Drosophila melanogaster: one gene and its partner. The protein of the gene in region 2 interacts with the protein of the main gene of each other region in a pairwise test. Each region holds a gene or a part of one and is shown on either strand. Other genes may lie near its edges.

The links. The genes of interacting proteins can lie anywhere in the genome.
Region 1: the proteins of Cpr76Ba (region 2) and Zasp66 interact in a two-hybrid assay, tested with the Drosophila melanogaster proteins (2 studies listed by BioGRID).

The regions. Positions count from the first base shown.
Region 1 is NT_037436.4:8,620,273-8,628,929, reverse strand, and holds the start of Zasp66 (Z band alternatively spliced PDZ-motif protein 66), read right to left. Parts: upstream 4,560-8,657; 5' UTR 4,448-4,559; coding exon 4,247-4,447; intron 2,722-4,246; exon of another isoform or gene 2,537-2,721; coding exon of another isoform or gene 2,420-2,536; intron 1,970-2,419; coding exon 1,821-1,969; intron 1,504-1,820; coding exon 1,200-1,503; intron 1-1,199. Other genes in the region: GAPsec (GTPase activating protein, SECIS-dependent read-through), read left to right, coding at 5,156-5,175, 5,243-5,322, 5,381-5,853, 5,996-6,519, 6,572-6,686; S-Lap2 (Sperm-Leucylaminopeptidase 2), read right to left, coding at 7,017-7,157, 7,214-7,678, 7,734-8,657.
Region 2 is NT_037436.4:19,514,681-19,521,497, forward strand, and holds Cpr76Ba (cuticular protein 76Ba), read right to left. Parts: upstream 3,653-6,817; 5' UTR 3,596-3,652; coding exon 2,981-3,595; 3' UTR 2,872-2,980; downstream 1-2,871. Other genes in the region: Cpr76Bb (cuticular protein 76Bb), read left to right, coding at 5,015-5,611; Cpr76Bc (cuticular protein 76Bc), read left to right, coding at 6,700-6,711.

The DNA.
Region 1 (8,657 bases), about 11 Mb from region 2:
TACATATTAACCATAAATTAGTTAAGGCAAAGTACAATAACCCCTCGCAATACTATAATGCTGAGAATAGACCAACTCCCATCATCGTGGGGAGGTCACCTGTTCTGGAACTTTTCCCCGAGACAATTTTCTGACACCTTCGTATGACAAATCGTCAAACATCAAAACATGTAGGTAGGTAGGCACCTTGATTTTATTTCGGTGCCGCACTGCCAAACATCAAATTGCGACCTTGGCAAGTGTCTTGATTCATTAGCAGCGTCATCCGAGGATAATGGGACATATGGAGTGAGAAGGGAGGTGTTCTGAGTGGCCTTGCCACGGGGCATCACAGGTTTTGGACGGACAGTGGATCAAAATCCGCGCCGTGCACCCCCACTCACCTGGCACAGAAATAGTTCGGAAAATAGACGCTTGTTTATTTGCGTTTTTGGCTCTTGGCATTTTTCGCCGAGTTTTGGGGGCGGGCTAGTTCTCTGTAAGAGATTCTGACTTGTTTTTCTTTGATTCCCAGCCAATTTCCACCTGCGCACTGCGTCACCGAGCCTTTTCCTGTTTAGCACCCCGCATCCTCGCTCCGAAGTCTATATATAGCGTATGTAAGCGATGGAACCTTGACCAACAACATTGTTATGTGCTGACGTCATCGTTCGAGTGTATTCAAATTACAAAAACGAACTGTTTTCTACATTTTCGAAAGCGTTTTACATGAACATTTTAAAAATCTACATACACTGACAATGGAAATGAACAACAAATAGAACCCAGTTGGTTCAAACATTTAGCATTGTGGTAAACAATTTACGTAGGTATTTTCGATTGACATCGCGGAAAATATTTTACCACATTCATTTTACACACATTTTTTAATTTAATTCCCGAAAAGTATGCAACGGGCAACTACAAAATTATGCATATGAAAATATTGGATATTATTACAACCTTGTTGTTATATTTATAGATCCAAAAGATACCAACTCACATAAAAATAACTGTATGAGATGCAGTCCTAGATATTAGATTGTAAAATAATCTATGATGAATATATTCAATTATTAGTTGCAACTAGCTTTATCCAAAATTTTTAAAAATTGCTAAAGGATTTATCAAAATCTCAGTACTCGCAGCATACCATTCGGGATAAATGTTTTTCAACACACAATGGGATCATCCATAAAAAAAACATTTAAATATCTCACCTGATTCACAATGGCCGCCTGCTCCTCATCGACGTCTTGTTGATGGTCCCTGGTTGGCTTGGGTGAGAACACAGTCGATGGCACCTCATAGCCACCGGATGAGTTCAGCTGGGGAAACACGGTCTGCGGCAACGTGTCCACCGGCAACTGGAGGGCCCTCTCAAAGTGGCTGGGTCCGGGCAAAAAGGGCGACGGACCGCGGTGGGGCATCAGATCCGGAGTGACCGGCGGCAAAGTGGAGTTGCTCCGAGATCCAGGACCTGCCTCCTGAGTTGCACCCTGCGTGTAGGCGATTTTGTTGTCCCTGCAATTTAGAATTATTAATATTTGTCATATCACAGACCATACAAAAGAAAAATCAGTTCCTAACGTTTCTTAGTGCAAATTGATCCAAGACGAAGGTTTCCTTTTGGCAATGGAGTAAAACTTAAGTTAAGTTTTTTATACTATGACTATAATCAACTAACTTTTATGATGATAAAAGCCCTGTTTAAAAAACAGAAAACTAAAATGAAGGTGTTCTCTTTACTCAATACACTTGACACTCGTAGAAGAAATTGATGTTAAACATACGGAACTGATTGGTATCTTTGATGCAGATACACGGATTTCCTGGCTCACCTGTGCACCACCAGGCGGATCTCGTTGCCAGCGCCGCGGAACAGCTGCTGTGCATCCGCATGACTCAGGTCGCGTGCGTCGTACTCGCCGATCTTCGAGATGATGTCGCCTCTTAGAAGTTCGCCATGCGCTGGGCTGCCCACTTGCACCTGCAACGGGTGGGGTGGAAAAGGAGGTGGGAAGGTCATTAGACACACATAGTATAGGGTGCAACGGGCTGGTTGCAACCTTGACACAGATTTATGGGTGCCTAAATAGATGCAGACAGAATTATGATCGCCAAAATGTGTGTGTTTACATCGCAGCTCAGTGAAAAGGGGGTAGGTAGGAAAAGTGGAAATTTTCTTCGACTATTCGGTTGCGCCTCAATTAGTTTTACTGGCGTCGCATTTTGGCAACGCTGCAGCGTTTATTGTTGCTGTGCCCGTTTCGCTATTTTGATTTGTTGTTGTTTATTTGGGCGCTGAGAACAAAGCGGCATGCGGGGCACAAAGGCCAATCGCTTTTCCTCAGGCATTTCTTCTCTGGCTCAATTTTGATGAATGGACCACAAGCGACCACAAGGCGACAGTCTCTCTGGTTATATAACGCCCATTTACCCTGGTGATAATTAGCGGCGTGTCCAGATCGTTGCCGCCCACCAAACGAATGCCCCAGGGCGTGGCCTGACCATCGCGCAGTAGCACCACCGCAAACTCATGCAGCTTGGGGCTCATCCTGATGTTGAAGATAGACTGGAAGATCAGACGCTCATCCGATCCAGCGATGGTTTATCCCGAAAATATATATTTATTTTTTATTGTTTATTTTTTTTTCTGGCCTTTTCTGGCCGAGCCGCAGGCGGCGCGCGATTGCAATCCGTTAAGCGTTTTGTTCGATCGCAAAGCTGCTCAAGTACTAATTTTAAAATACAATTCGTATTCCTTTTTGCAGCAACAGCAGCGGCAGCAGAGTACACTGCGCCACAAGTTTGTTTCTTACATACACATATGTACATACATGTACAACTTATATCCGCCGGCAACGGCGACTACATGCTGAGAAACATGAATTCGATTGGCGAATCCTAATCGTTAAATGGGGTTTCCGCTAAGAGCACTCTGAATTTCTCAGAGCGGATGTCGTGGATTCAAAAAGCATCAGGAGCATTTACCTCGGCAAAGCTCATAATTACCACAAGATAATTAGGCGTATACTTGATAAGCGGCTGCATATCAAATTACGCATACGCAGTGTTAATAAACATGATTGCTTGCATGTGTGCCATGTATTTAAAGCTTTACTATTTTCATTATTATATATACCCAAATCGCGAAGAGCATCCGCAAGCCACCACAAACTCAAACCTTTTCCCACATTGTTCCCATTGTTTAATTCGACGTGTGCCCTGCATTTGTGGCATTCTGCATTTCGTTGACCACATTTTAGGGCAGCACTTGATCCAGTTGCACGCTGACCCTGAAGAGATGAATGCCACATATCATCATCTAGGCGAATGCTTTGATGAGCTAGCTCGCCTGATGCAAAAAAGCATAAAAATCAAGTATCTAGGCATCTGTTTTTCCTCGACATTTTCGACTATTTTATTAGTGTTTTATTCCTCTCCGACTTGTTTGCCGAACGATGAGGCAACCAAGAGAGAGTGTAATTAGTTTTAGTTACTGAGGCGGTACTAGCACAACTGCAACAACCAATTCGACACTCTTGCCCAATTTAAATAAGCAAATCATATTAGATTTTTAATGCATTAGTCAATGGAAAAGTCTACGGCCAACGTGACGTATACGCAATATGAACGGGTCAACGGTTGAAGGACGTTGGTTTGTATTAAACATTCTGTCTGCCTCTCGATTTTGGCAACAATTTTACTGTTTACAGCGGAAAAATCTTTTCCTGCCTTTTGGCTTTTCGCTGAATATATACACAATATATGGCTTGCCATTTCATTTTTAATTTTATACATTCTGATTTCGGCACTTTTTGGCTGGCTCTTGAAATGTTTTTACTATTTGCGGCTTGAATTGTTTTCATTTCATTTTCAATTGGAATTCGTGTAATGTTTTTACGGTGACTTTTGCTGTAGATCAGCCTTGAGCGGATTGTAAATCATTCGAAATTCTTCACCCAACGTCTTGCGAATGGTATAAAAGTCATGCCAATGGAAATATAGATCCATCCATCTTTTTTGGGCCATTTTACTTGACCGAAAAGTGCAGCAGTGGCCAATTAATTAGATTTGGCTTGACAAATTTACGAGCCGCAAGGGGCGAAATGTTATTGAACTGATTTCTGAGTCGGCCTGTTGTGAATTGGGGCCACAAATACATTGGAATACGAATAAGAAAAGAACACACGCGCGATGATTGACAAGCCGGGCGATTTGAAAGGGGTTGGGGCTTCCACTTTTCTCGGCCACTTGGACTTACCCCCACGTTTTGCTCATCGGCAAAATGGACGCGCTTCTTCAGTCCGCTGCTGCTGCGCCGCCTGCAGGGCGATGGCAGCGGTACGAGCGGCGGTTTTGGGGTCGGCTGTGGACGATAGGACGTGGGCAATTCGTAACCGGGCACCTTCCAGAAAGCCGGTCGACTGAATGACGCGGACGCCGATGATCTGCTGGTCGTCATTGCTGGCCAGCGACTAGAGTAAACAAAAGAAATGCTCCGCACATTCAGAAATATGCGCTAAATTCTACGATTCGAACGCGTCTGCTCGCGACTGCGTGTGTGTGTGCACTAGTAGGCAATTGAAAAATCAAATAAAAGCGGAGAAAAAATCAGAGAAAATGAGCGAAAACAGAATATTATTATTCATTCAAAATCCAGTGAAATAGTGAGACGCGGAGAATTATGAATGGATTAATTGATGTTTCAGTTAGTAAATTTGATTGAGCAAAGAAAATACATACAAGCAATATCTAATAATCATGATTTAATCATTTTCATTTACAATTTAAACAATAGCGCCTTCAGCTTTACAAGATCTGGCAACCAGCTTAAAAACAGTTTTTCAATTAATTAATTAAAAAGAACAATACAATTAAGACAGAAGGTAATTACATACATTTTTACGAGGACAGTAAACCATTTAAAATTTCGATTTATTTATAAAATTTAATCGTTAAAAACTTTGAATTTTACCGCCCAATGCACTCAAAAATCGATAGTCGCAGAGAATAATCGATTAGAGCTCGAACCATCTGGCAACGCCCATTGTTTTGTTGTGTTTTATACCTGCAGATTTCACCCAGCATAAAACTGAGATAAAGCTTTAATTAATTACACATAGGGGTACTGCAAGATCTCAGCATAGCCCCGCCCACATAAAGCCGCAGCATGTCTATTTTCAAGGCGCGGTAAGCTGTTATTCTAAGCTAATCCAAACTTCTCCGTAAACAAAGACTTTCTCTAACCAAAATGCAGAGTCAAGGAATTTGAGGATGTTTTGGCGGGGCCACAGGATTTAATTGACCTGAAACAACTCAGGAAACTGGCATTTAATGGTAGAAAGCTAAGAGTGCATTTGAAATGTTCAAAATTTGAAGTCTGAGCACTCCACAGGTGTGCCCGATGTGCAGAGTTTTCGAGCACTCAGTTGGAAGCTACTCCTTGGCTATTTGGGGCCTAGGCGCAGTAGTTGGACCACAACCTTGGCCCAAAAGCGAGCCCTGTATAAACAGTTCATCGAGGAGCTAGTCCTGCCCCCCGGACACTCGAGCAATAGAGCTAGCGTAGACGGAGGAGATGGGGACAAAGTCGATTCGGGGGGCGTTGGCCTGCAAGATCATCCGCTGAGCGAGGGACCCGAAAGCGCGTGGAACACGTTCTTCAATGATAACGAGTTTCTACTGCAAATCGACAAGGATGTCCGCCGCTTGTGCCCGGACATATCCTTTTTCCAGCAGCCCACCGATTATCCCTGCGAGATTGTGGTCCACAGCAAAGGAGAGCATGGACGAAGGCTCCACGAACGGGTGGTTCCCGCCGTTCTAAGTTCGGCGAATGTGGAACGCAAGGGCCTCGGCATGACAAAGGTGAGTTCAAGATCGGAATTGTGCTAGACAATAAGCTCAGAATGTGTTGTTTCATTCATGCATACCGTGTGGATTTTAGCAGCAAGTAAGTAAGCCCATCTGGAACTGCCCCAAACCTAATGAATATGTGTGCTCTATATAGATAAATTTGATTACAAAACGCTCCGTTGAAAACTATGCCGCCATGGAGGAGGGCCAAGAGGCTCACTGGGAAGTTGTGCAACGCATTTTGTTCATCTATGCCAAACTAAATCCCGGCCAGGGATATGTCCAGGGCATGAACGAAATCGTGGGACCCATTTACTATGTTATGGCCTCCGATCCTGACCTCACATATCGCGCCCACGCTGAGGCTGATTGTTTCTTTTGTTTTACCGCCCTGATGAGCGAGATAAGAGACTTTTTTATTAAAACACTAGACGACGCAGAAGGCGGCATCAAGTTCATGATGGCCAGGCTATCGAATATGCTGAAATCAAAGGACCTAAGCATTTACGAGCTACTCAGGAGCCAAGAGCTGCATCCGCAGTATTACAGCTTCAGGTGGCTCACACTGCTCCTGTCGCAGGAGTTTCCACTGCCAGATGTACTGCGCATTTGGGATTCCGTGTTTGCGGACGAACAGCGATTTGATTTTCTGATAAAAATATGCTGTTCAATGATATTGTAAGTAAACTTAGCTTTAGTATAAAGCAAGAACTAATATGAAATTTTGCAGAATCCAAAGGGAAGCAATTTTGGAAAACGACTTTGCCTCGAATGTGAAACTCTTGCAAAACTATCCGCCAATTGACATTAATGTTGTGATTGCTCATGCCGGATCATTGGCGTAGCATTCCTCCAGAAATATATCCTTGTGCCCAAATGCTTGCAAAGCCCCCTAGTTAGTTTAACAACTGAAAGAACCAAGCAATCAACTATACTTTAGTTAGCCCCAATCTTGGAAACGCACCCTTACAGGAAGTCCAATAAGTACACGCATTTTCACTTTTTTACATGACTTATAATTTGTATGTCATTAATAAACGAATTAATTTTAACATTTCGTGGTCCCAATTAGATAAACGTCAGAACGTTAAAGAAGTCATAGGTTGGTCAGTCGTTAAAAGAATACCGATGAACGTGTGGCATCGTCTCATTAAACTTAAACACCGTTCGAAGGTTCACTTGTTAAGCTTTGGAGCTGTGTCCTTGCATATGGACTGTGCAATAAACTCGATGAGTGTCCTTGTTGGACGTCCGGCCATGCCCTCTCGCAGATACTCGAACTCATCACCACGTGTGATCATCACGTTGGTGGCATCCTGGATTAAATCACAAATCAAATCAAAGTCCTACAACTAATAAAAACAAAACTTACAATATGCATCCATTGGCCGCAAGGCACAAATTCACGAAGGAAAGCGGCAGCTTTGCAAGGACGTCCACCACGACCGATACCGTAGTTCTGGACATCACTGCGTCCACCGGCACGCACCGCCTTGCTGTAGTAGTTCCACAGGGGGAAACGCCACACGCGGTCTCCAGTGTGCATGCTGGCGTGCTTGATCTGCTGCCAAAGGATCTCAGAGTTGGTAAACACCCCACAGGCAGCCTCATCCAACGCTTGGCGCATATATCCCGAGCAGGTGCCAATGTCAATGATGCACTTCGGACAGAAGTTCTGCCCGTACAGAAGGGCATCCGCCAGCACTAGAACATCTTCGTGGTCGGTGCACTGCACCTCAATGGTCTTGCCATTCATGGATTTCACCATGTCTCCAGGACGGAAGGAATTGCATCCAATAACGTTCTCGCACAGGGGTATTAGTCCACGAATATTGACCTAACGGTAATATATGGTTATCCAAGGAATAACATCGGGTCATCCAGTCACTTACCGGTAACCTCAGGCCAGCGACAGCACGACAAGTGGCCACCACTACGGCCGCACCAGTCATATCTCCGCGCATGTGGAAAAGTTCCTGCTTCTCCTTTAAGCACAAACCACCTGCATCGTAAGTCACTCCCTGCCCAACCAAGACGATGGGTCGCTCCTCGGCACAGGTGCCGTAGTAGCTCAGCTCCAGAAAGATTGGTGGTTCGCAAGAGGCCTTTCCCACCGCCAAGAAGGCGTGCATCGACTGGCTCTCAGCCCAACCCTCGACTTTGACCTCTACATTGACGCCGGACTTACAAAGCACTTCGACGACATTCTGGGCAAAGGCAGTGGGGGTCAAAAGGTTGGAGGGCATCTCCTGCAACTGGCGGGTCAGGTTCTGCGCGGCAGCCTTTTGCAGGCCGATACGCCATCCTTCTATGTCGCAAATCTCATCCTTAGTGGCATACAGATCGATGGAAGGCACTGAGATTCGCCGCTTGGGATCGCGAAGCTCCTGGTAGATCCAGATCCCGAGAGCTGCTCCCTCCGCGGCAGATTCGGCGTGTCCACAGTTCTCTACTTCGATGCGGTCGGTGTCCAGTTCAGCGAGTATTCGGCAGGCATCCGCTACCGACCGTCGGATGGCCTCCTTCTGCTCGTCGAGCACCTCGTATGGGTTATAGCCCAGGCATTCCTTACCCAAACCGATAACTGCCACCGCCGAATAGTAGGGCACGCGCTCCGGCTCCACGGCGAACAGGAGGCGGGTCTCTCCCCTTTTGGGCATGGGTCCGGACATTCGCAGCACTTCTAGCAACCGACCGTGCGTCTTCTGCACATTGTACTTCCAGCCGGTTGGCGTCAGGATGCCAGCGTCGTTCTTGTCCTCCTCGTCGGCGTAGACTCCAACGACCAAGCCACGCGACGGAGGATCCGCGCAGAT
Region 2 (6,817 bases):
TATCCACGACTCAGAATTTCCAAATTATTTCCAGATCACCAAAAAAGAAAAACTTATTCTTTTCTAATTAGAAATGATGTACTCATTTTAGAAGAACTCCTCTAAAATTCTACCATAAGGACCCCCAGAGCCAGCAATAAAATATGAAACCTATGACAGCACTATGGAACTTCAGCAGCCGAGGAAGGTGGAGGCTGGGATCGCCGGGTCACATTATTATACTTTGAGCGGCGCCGAAATCAGGCAAAACTTTCCCGCACACCCTGGACTCCTAAGACCCGCCTGTCATAACAACAGGGCAGGATGGTCGGCGGAAAACTGAAAACTGAAAGCTGGAGGCGACACAAAGGGGGAAACGGTTTTTCCAGGCGCTGCTCTTTTCCACTCCTCGCCGACACACCAACCCAAAACACTCCCTTCGGGATTCATTTTCGTTTCATTCATTTATTCGTCGCTAGCTGCTTTTCATTCATTTTGAACTTTCGACGATTTAATTCGGCTTTCGAGCTGCTTTTCCTTCTTTTTCGTCTCTGTTTCACTTTTTTCCCATTCTGAGTCTGGCGAACGCCTTTGGCCAAGCGACAACAAAAAGTTGCAAAAGGGGAAACAGTACTATATTACGAAAAGAATGCAATTGGGATGCACTGCGAGAAACTGGAGCTAGCTGCTAGATCTGATACCTGACATCGCAGACAGCAAAACAAATCAATGAATGAACTGTCGATTTTAATATGTTTTTACTTTTTCGTAATTGCTGACGAGTAAGGAAGGAACAAGAAACAAAGGAGTACGTTAAATTATACTCCCCTAATTACTCAATTACTCAATTTGAATAATTAAATCATACGATGCAAAAATTTAATTAATTTAAAAATAGTTTTGATATTGTACTATCTATTCCTCAAAGGCAATACAAGGAAAATCTGAAAATAAATGTAAATATAACCTTTCAATGAAGACAGTTCGTAATGAAATGCAGGGATAATAATAAAACTGATATCAATTTTTTGGTTGATTAGTCTTCATACTATTTCTCCTTTACTTTTATGACAAAAATGAAGATGAGAACAAGGGCAGCTTCGTAGTCGATATACCCGATAGAAACAATAAATTTCGGTCCCTGAACCCTTGGCATAAATTTCACGTCTGTATTTCGGTCTTTGTGTGAGCTTTCCTTTCTGTTTATCGGTTTTTTTTTCGTGTTGACCCCACCTGGCTGCCGACCACGATTGCAATCTCCAGTGCTCATTTGCATTTTTAATGAAACCATATAAAGGCGAAAAATTGATGGGGAGTAAAGGGGCCCAAGCTGGACGTCGGTGTGTGGAGCAGCTGCAAATTATGAGCCAAAGGTCCGGAGAAGGACCTTTGCCCTTTGCCGCCGCCTTATCCTCCGTACACATGCACCACTAGCTCGGCAAATAAATCCGACCATATCCCTGGCATATCGGGATCCAAACTGTCAACAGTTTGTCGCCTATCGCGGCGTCGAAATTTTCTCTCTGTAACCAATAAATGTTTCAACATCATTTACATTTGTGGTGGCAGTCTTATCCTCGGAGCATTGGAAGTGGAATTTTCCCGGGGCGGCTACTTCAATCATTTCGGACCTCGGGATGCCTGACCTCAGGCATTCAGCTCGGTTTTCCACCGACTCCGGCGATTGCGTTCTGGGCAAACAGCCCTCCCAGATTTATGGGACCGCAAAACTTTGCTTCACGGCATAAATTAATGTTTAATTGATGAATTTATATGACGAGGGCACGATGCTCGGGCTTACATTGGACAGCATTCCATCATTGTGCGGGCCAGATGTCAAAGTTTATTCGCGGTCGCTTTAAAGACAATTATTTTCAAGATGTCAAAAACACAAGCTCTTAGTATCAATAATACACAATTCAAAGAAATACAAAGTTTTCCGACAATTATTGTGGAAGTAAATTAAAGTTAAAAATATTTATCGTTTTTAATTTTAACAGAATGAACTGCCTTGCATGTAACAAACCGCTTTGCCGGATGTAAGCAGTGCAACCCGAAGTTCTGTAAATTTCCGACAGGGGTCTCAGTTTTCGACATTTTTGACACTGTGTACGAAGCAATGTTTGTAAAGTAGATGTTGTATGTATTTTACACTGTGCTACAAAGTTCTACACTTTTTGTTATACAATAGATACAATTATTAGGGAAGTGTGGAAATTTTTTGAAAATAACATGTGTTTTGCTGTACTCATTATTTTAATTTAGTTCAACGTACACAAATGGTAAATTTAAGCTGACCAGGCTAGGCACTTTTTAAGATCTTATGTGGTCACCTATAGCTTTCTACTACTTATCAACTCAATTGGAAAATAGGCAATAAATAGGATTTCTCAGGCGTTGTTTCTCTGTCTCAGCAGATTAATAATATCAAAAATGGGAGGTCCGAAAAAACTTTCAATGGCATTCGTTTCGAAGTCAATGACTCTGGGCATCGAGATCGAGTCGAATAAGCAGGGGAACTTAAGTAACGACAGCGACGGCGATGTAGATGAATTAAAAAATTGTGAAAATCAGGAATATCTTTACCATCTTTACCATATCTTTACCGGACTCTGATGATAACTTTTGGAAGGACTTTTCTGAACAAGCCGAAGCCTTCAAAGTCCTTAGAAAAGATGTGCGTAAGATCTTCCGAACCTCCTTATGTGAGCTAGAATACAAAAAGGCTGCAAGACACTAAGGCCTCAACATCCTCCGTATCGAATGTATCTTAGAATTATTGGATCGGTAAGTTGTTTCTCTCATTTAATAAACGGTGTTCGTTGTGGTCTTAAATCTCAGAACTATTGTAAAAACTTTAAATAGTAAAGTAGTTTGATTTGTAGCTTTTTTCTGCACTTTGATATATTTACCTACTATTTAAGTTAACAATTTTGTAGTTCTATTTACAATAATTAAGTCGGTCCGAATCGCTTGCAGTCAGTCAGTTAGGTCAGCTCCTCTACCACCACTTGTTGCTCTTGTCCTCCCATTTGCTGCTGGTGTCCTGTTTGACATCCACGTAGCTGGTGGCATGACCATGCCCATGTCCGTATTGCTGGCCATATGAGTGGCTGTGCTCCAAGTGACTGGCGTGTCCCACATGCTTCACGGTTGCCTGGAATCCGTTGTGGGAGTCGGCGGTGTACTCAACGATCCTGGTGCGTCCGTCGGCCTCCTTCATGGTGTAGCCTCCCTTGACCTTGTCGCCATCGCGGGTCTCCCACTGCTGCTTGATGTCGCCGGTCTTGGTGTCCTTCACCCCGTAATTGAATTCGTATTTGGGATGGTGTTTGGGTTCCTCGTGGTGGCTCCACTGGTGGTGGCTATCGTGCGCAGCGACTGGAGCCCACTGCTGGTGGTGATGATCCTGAACTGTGCCCCATGAATGGGCCTTTGGGACATCCACCCATTGGTGGTGAGCCTGGTGGTGATCCTGCCACTGCTTGGGCGCCTCGTGATGCGTCTGGATGCTGTACCCCACGCCGTGTTCGTGACTATATCCACCATGAGGGATGTAGCTAGCAGCAGCCACTCCCAGAAGTGCGCAGCAGAGGATGCTCAATTGGTGGGCCATTTTCGTTGGTTTCTGATTGACTTGCCTGGCCTAAATCACGATTGGAACTGTTATAATCACCAGACAATGCCCAATGCTTTTATACTTCTGGCCATTCTATGGATCGATTAATTACATTTTAGACTGCGGGCTAAATAGGCTAGAAAAAAGTAAGAGCCCCAAAAATGGGTATAAAAAATGCTTCGAATTTTTGTGCAAATTTTCATTTTTCCCCATTCGTATTCATAGTCTTGGGCGGTCGGTCGATTGGCAAATTAAAACTTGCCAGAAACAACAACATCATCATTAAGCGGGGCGTGAACATCGCTCAAATGCTTGAAAAACGCAAAGCTTTTCGATTTTGTTGCTTAGAAATCAATCAACAAGTGTGGCCCGCTTTCAAATTGCTCAGCAATAGCCGCCTCGCCTCGCCTCGCTGCGTTTCCACGGTTGGACCCTCTTTTTCGCCTACTTCACTCCAAATGACCTTGAGACGGACGGTGCGGTAAGGGGCTGAGAAGGGGAGGGCAGCGTTGGGCGGACCGTCCAATCGGTTGGTGTTTCTGACCAGGGGGTCTGCTGTGGGGCACCCAGAGCTTCCGAATTGGTGTTAACTTACCGATAGTGTTTTTTAATGCATATAATTTACAAGGCTAATAGACTTTAAGCTCGGAAATTTGAAATGCGTGAAAATATAAGCATATTGGTATTTAGCCTACGTTATCTGATGTTAATTATTTTTAAGACGTTTATTTGCATAAATTGTTTCGCTATCTATAGGAATAACATGCATATTAAATAAAAAGAAATCCTGTAGTTCAAGTTTTAAAACTACTAATAACTATATAATAAATATAATGTTGAAGCCAACAGATTTCTAGGAAAAACACATAATTATTTATAGCAAAATAGGTTCGCTTTGGATATTTACATAAGGATTTCAAAGTACAACACTACAAAGTTTATTTATTGGTTAGTTTAACAGCATTTCCTTATTTCTTCAAGCAAAAGCTGCCGCCTTCATCAGTTCACATTCTCAGTCATAATTAATTTTTGTAAATTAAGCAATAAGTTCTTGCCTTAGTTTTTCCCTTCTCTTTGACTGAATACCAAACACATCGAACGATCTAACAAAAACTTTTTGGATCTGATATTATTAATTATTACTAGCAGAATTTAATTGTAACGGATTGGACTTTAAATAAAATGTGCCGATTTTCTATAGAGCTCAATGGCCGAAACAATAATAATAAGTACGAGTTAGTGAGGTAATTATCAAATCAGCTAGCTCGATTGGTGAATGGTGTGGCCAAGAGAATGACCACCCGATGGTTGATTGCCCCAGAGTCTTCGATAGCTATATATAGTCTAGGTGAGCTCCCCAAGAACCAGCAGACATCATCAAAGTTCCGATTGGAAAACAGCGAATAAGTGACCGATATGAAATCCTTTAGCGGAGGTCTGTTCTTTGCCCTTCTGGTGGGAGCCAGTTGGGCAGCTCCCCATGGTGGACACGCCACCAGCTACAGTTCGGTGACCAAGCACGAAGGACCCGTCCACAAGAGCCTGGGCTACGGATACGATCACGATGTGGTCAGCGCTTACGGTGGCATCTACGGACACGGCTATCCGAGTGTCGGCCATTCGGGCTACGGATACGGATACGACAAGCACGAGCCCCATCACTATCCCAAGTACCAATTCGACTACGGCGTCAAGGATGCCCACACCGGAGACCAGAAGAGCCAGTGGGAGACGCGGGATGGCGACAAGGTCAAGGGCAGCTACTCCCTCAAGGAATCGGATGGCACCACCCGAGTGGTGGAGTACACCGCCGATGACCACAATGGCTTCAACGCAGTGGTAAAGAAGCTCGGCCACGCCCACCACCCCCAGGTCTACCACAAGGGCTACGGACACGGCGATATCTACGACGCCGACTACGGCTACGGTCACGATGTGGCGCAATATGGCGGATACGGATACGGACACGGAGGCCACGCCAGTAGCTACGTAAGCGTGAAGCAGCTGCACTAAGCAACCAAAATGCGGACTCACCCGGCGAAAACGATCTGGAATCATCATTAGTTAACAATGCAACGAACTTACCTAACTAAAGCCAACTTTTTACAAGTGTAGTATTGACGATATTTATATTTGTATTGAAATAAATAAGCGTAGCTGTTTATAATCAAGAAGGGACGACATTTACTATTTATACAATTATAAATTATTATAAATTATTTATACCTTTATCTACTAGATAGAAAAGGTTAGTAAATACCTTATGAGACAGAAATATCTTATTAAGGTATGAAAAATATATGGAAATGCATTAAAAAGTGGTGTCCGCCTTGCGAATGAGTCTCTGGGAAGTTTTCCCAAGTCACAAGCACTTGATTTTGATACGGATTAGCAGGATTAACTGGCCAAGTGGAGACACGACAAACTCGCAGAGCAAATCGCCATTAATTTATGTAAAGTCGAAACGTAATGCTGGCAGGTATAAATTTTATAATGCCATTAGACAGCTGCAGCGAAGCGTCGACGACGACTTTTACTTGCCGCTCGGCGGCGCCTGAAACCAAAAGTTGGGGCGCCCAAATCGGGGGAGCATGGGATATATACAACATATGTATATATAAGTTCGTGCAGCATATATGGATATAGATAGCTTGGCGGTATCGCGGCTCAAACGGGTTTCGGAACGAGGAGCTCCCGGACGGCAAATAATTGTCAATTAGACCGAGCTTAGGAAGCGACAAACAAAGCAGCTGCAATCTGCTCATCGCAGTTGGTTGCGTCTGGCGACTTGGAAGTTGGATGTTAGACGTTGGATATTGGGCATTGGACGTTGGAAGTGGAACCGGTGAAGCCGGAAAATCTTGTCGCCGGGAAAACGAAGCGAATCGAAACCGAAGCGTTGTGCCTTGCTGTTGTGCCGGTCCTCGTCTTCATCTATAAATACTTTGGCAATGCCGCGCCAACGCTTTAATTACGTTTTTGTCCTTGACATTGAGACCACGGCAGCGGATCGCAGAGCAGCGATTTGTCAGCGTTTTAAAACGCCAGTGTAATTGTGACGCGTTTTTCGCAGAATAACTCGAGTTGATTGTTTAGGCGACATGCGGTTCTATGTAAGTGCTGACTAAATAAGTAAAATTGCTGTGGGTGACGGTTAGGAATTTAGTGGCCATCGGATAAGCAACAATTTTTGGCAATTGGAAATCGAGAGCGAAAGCT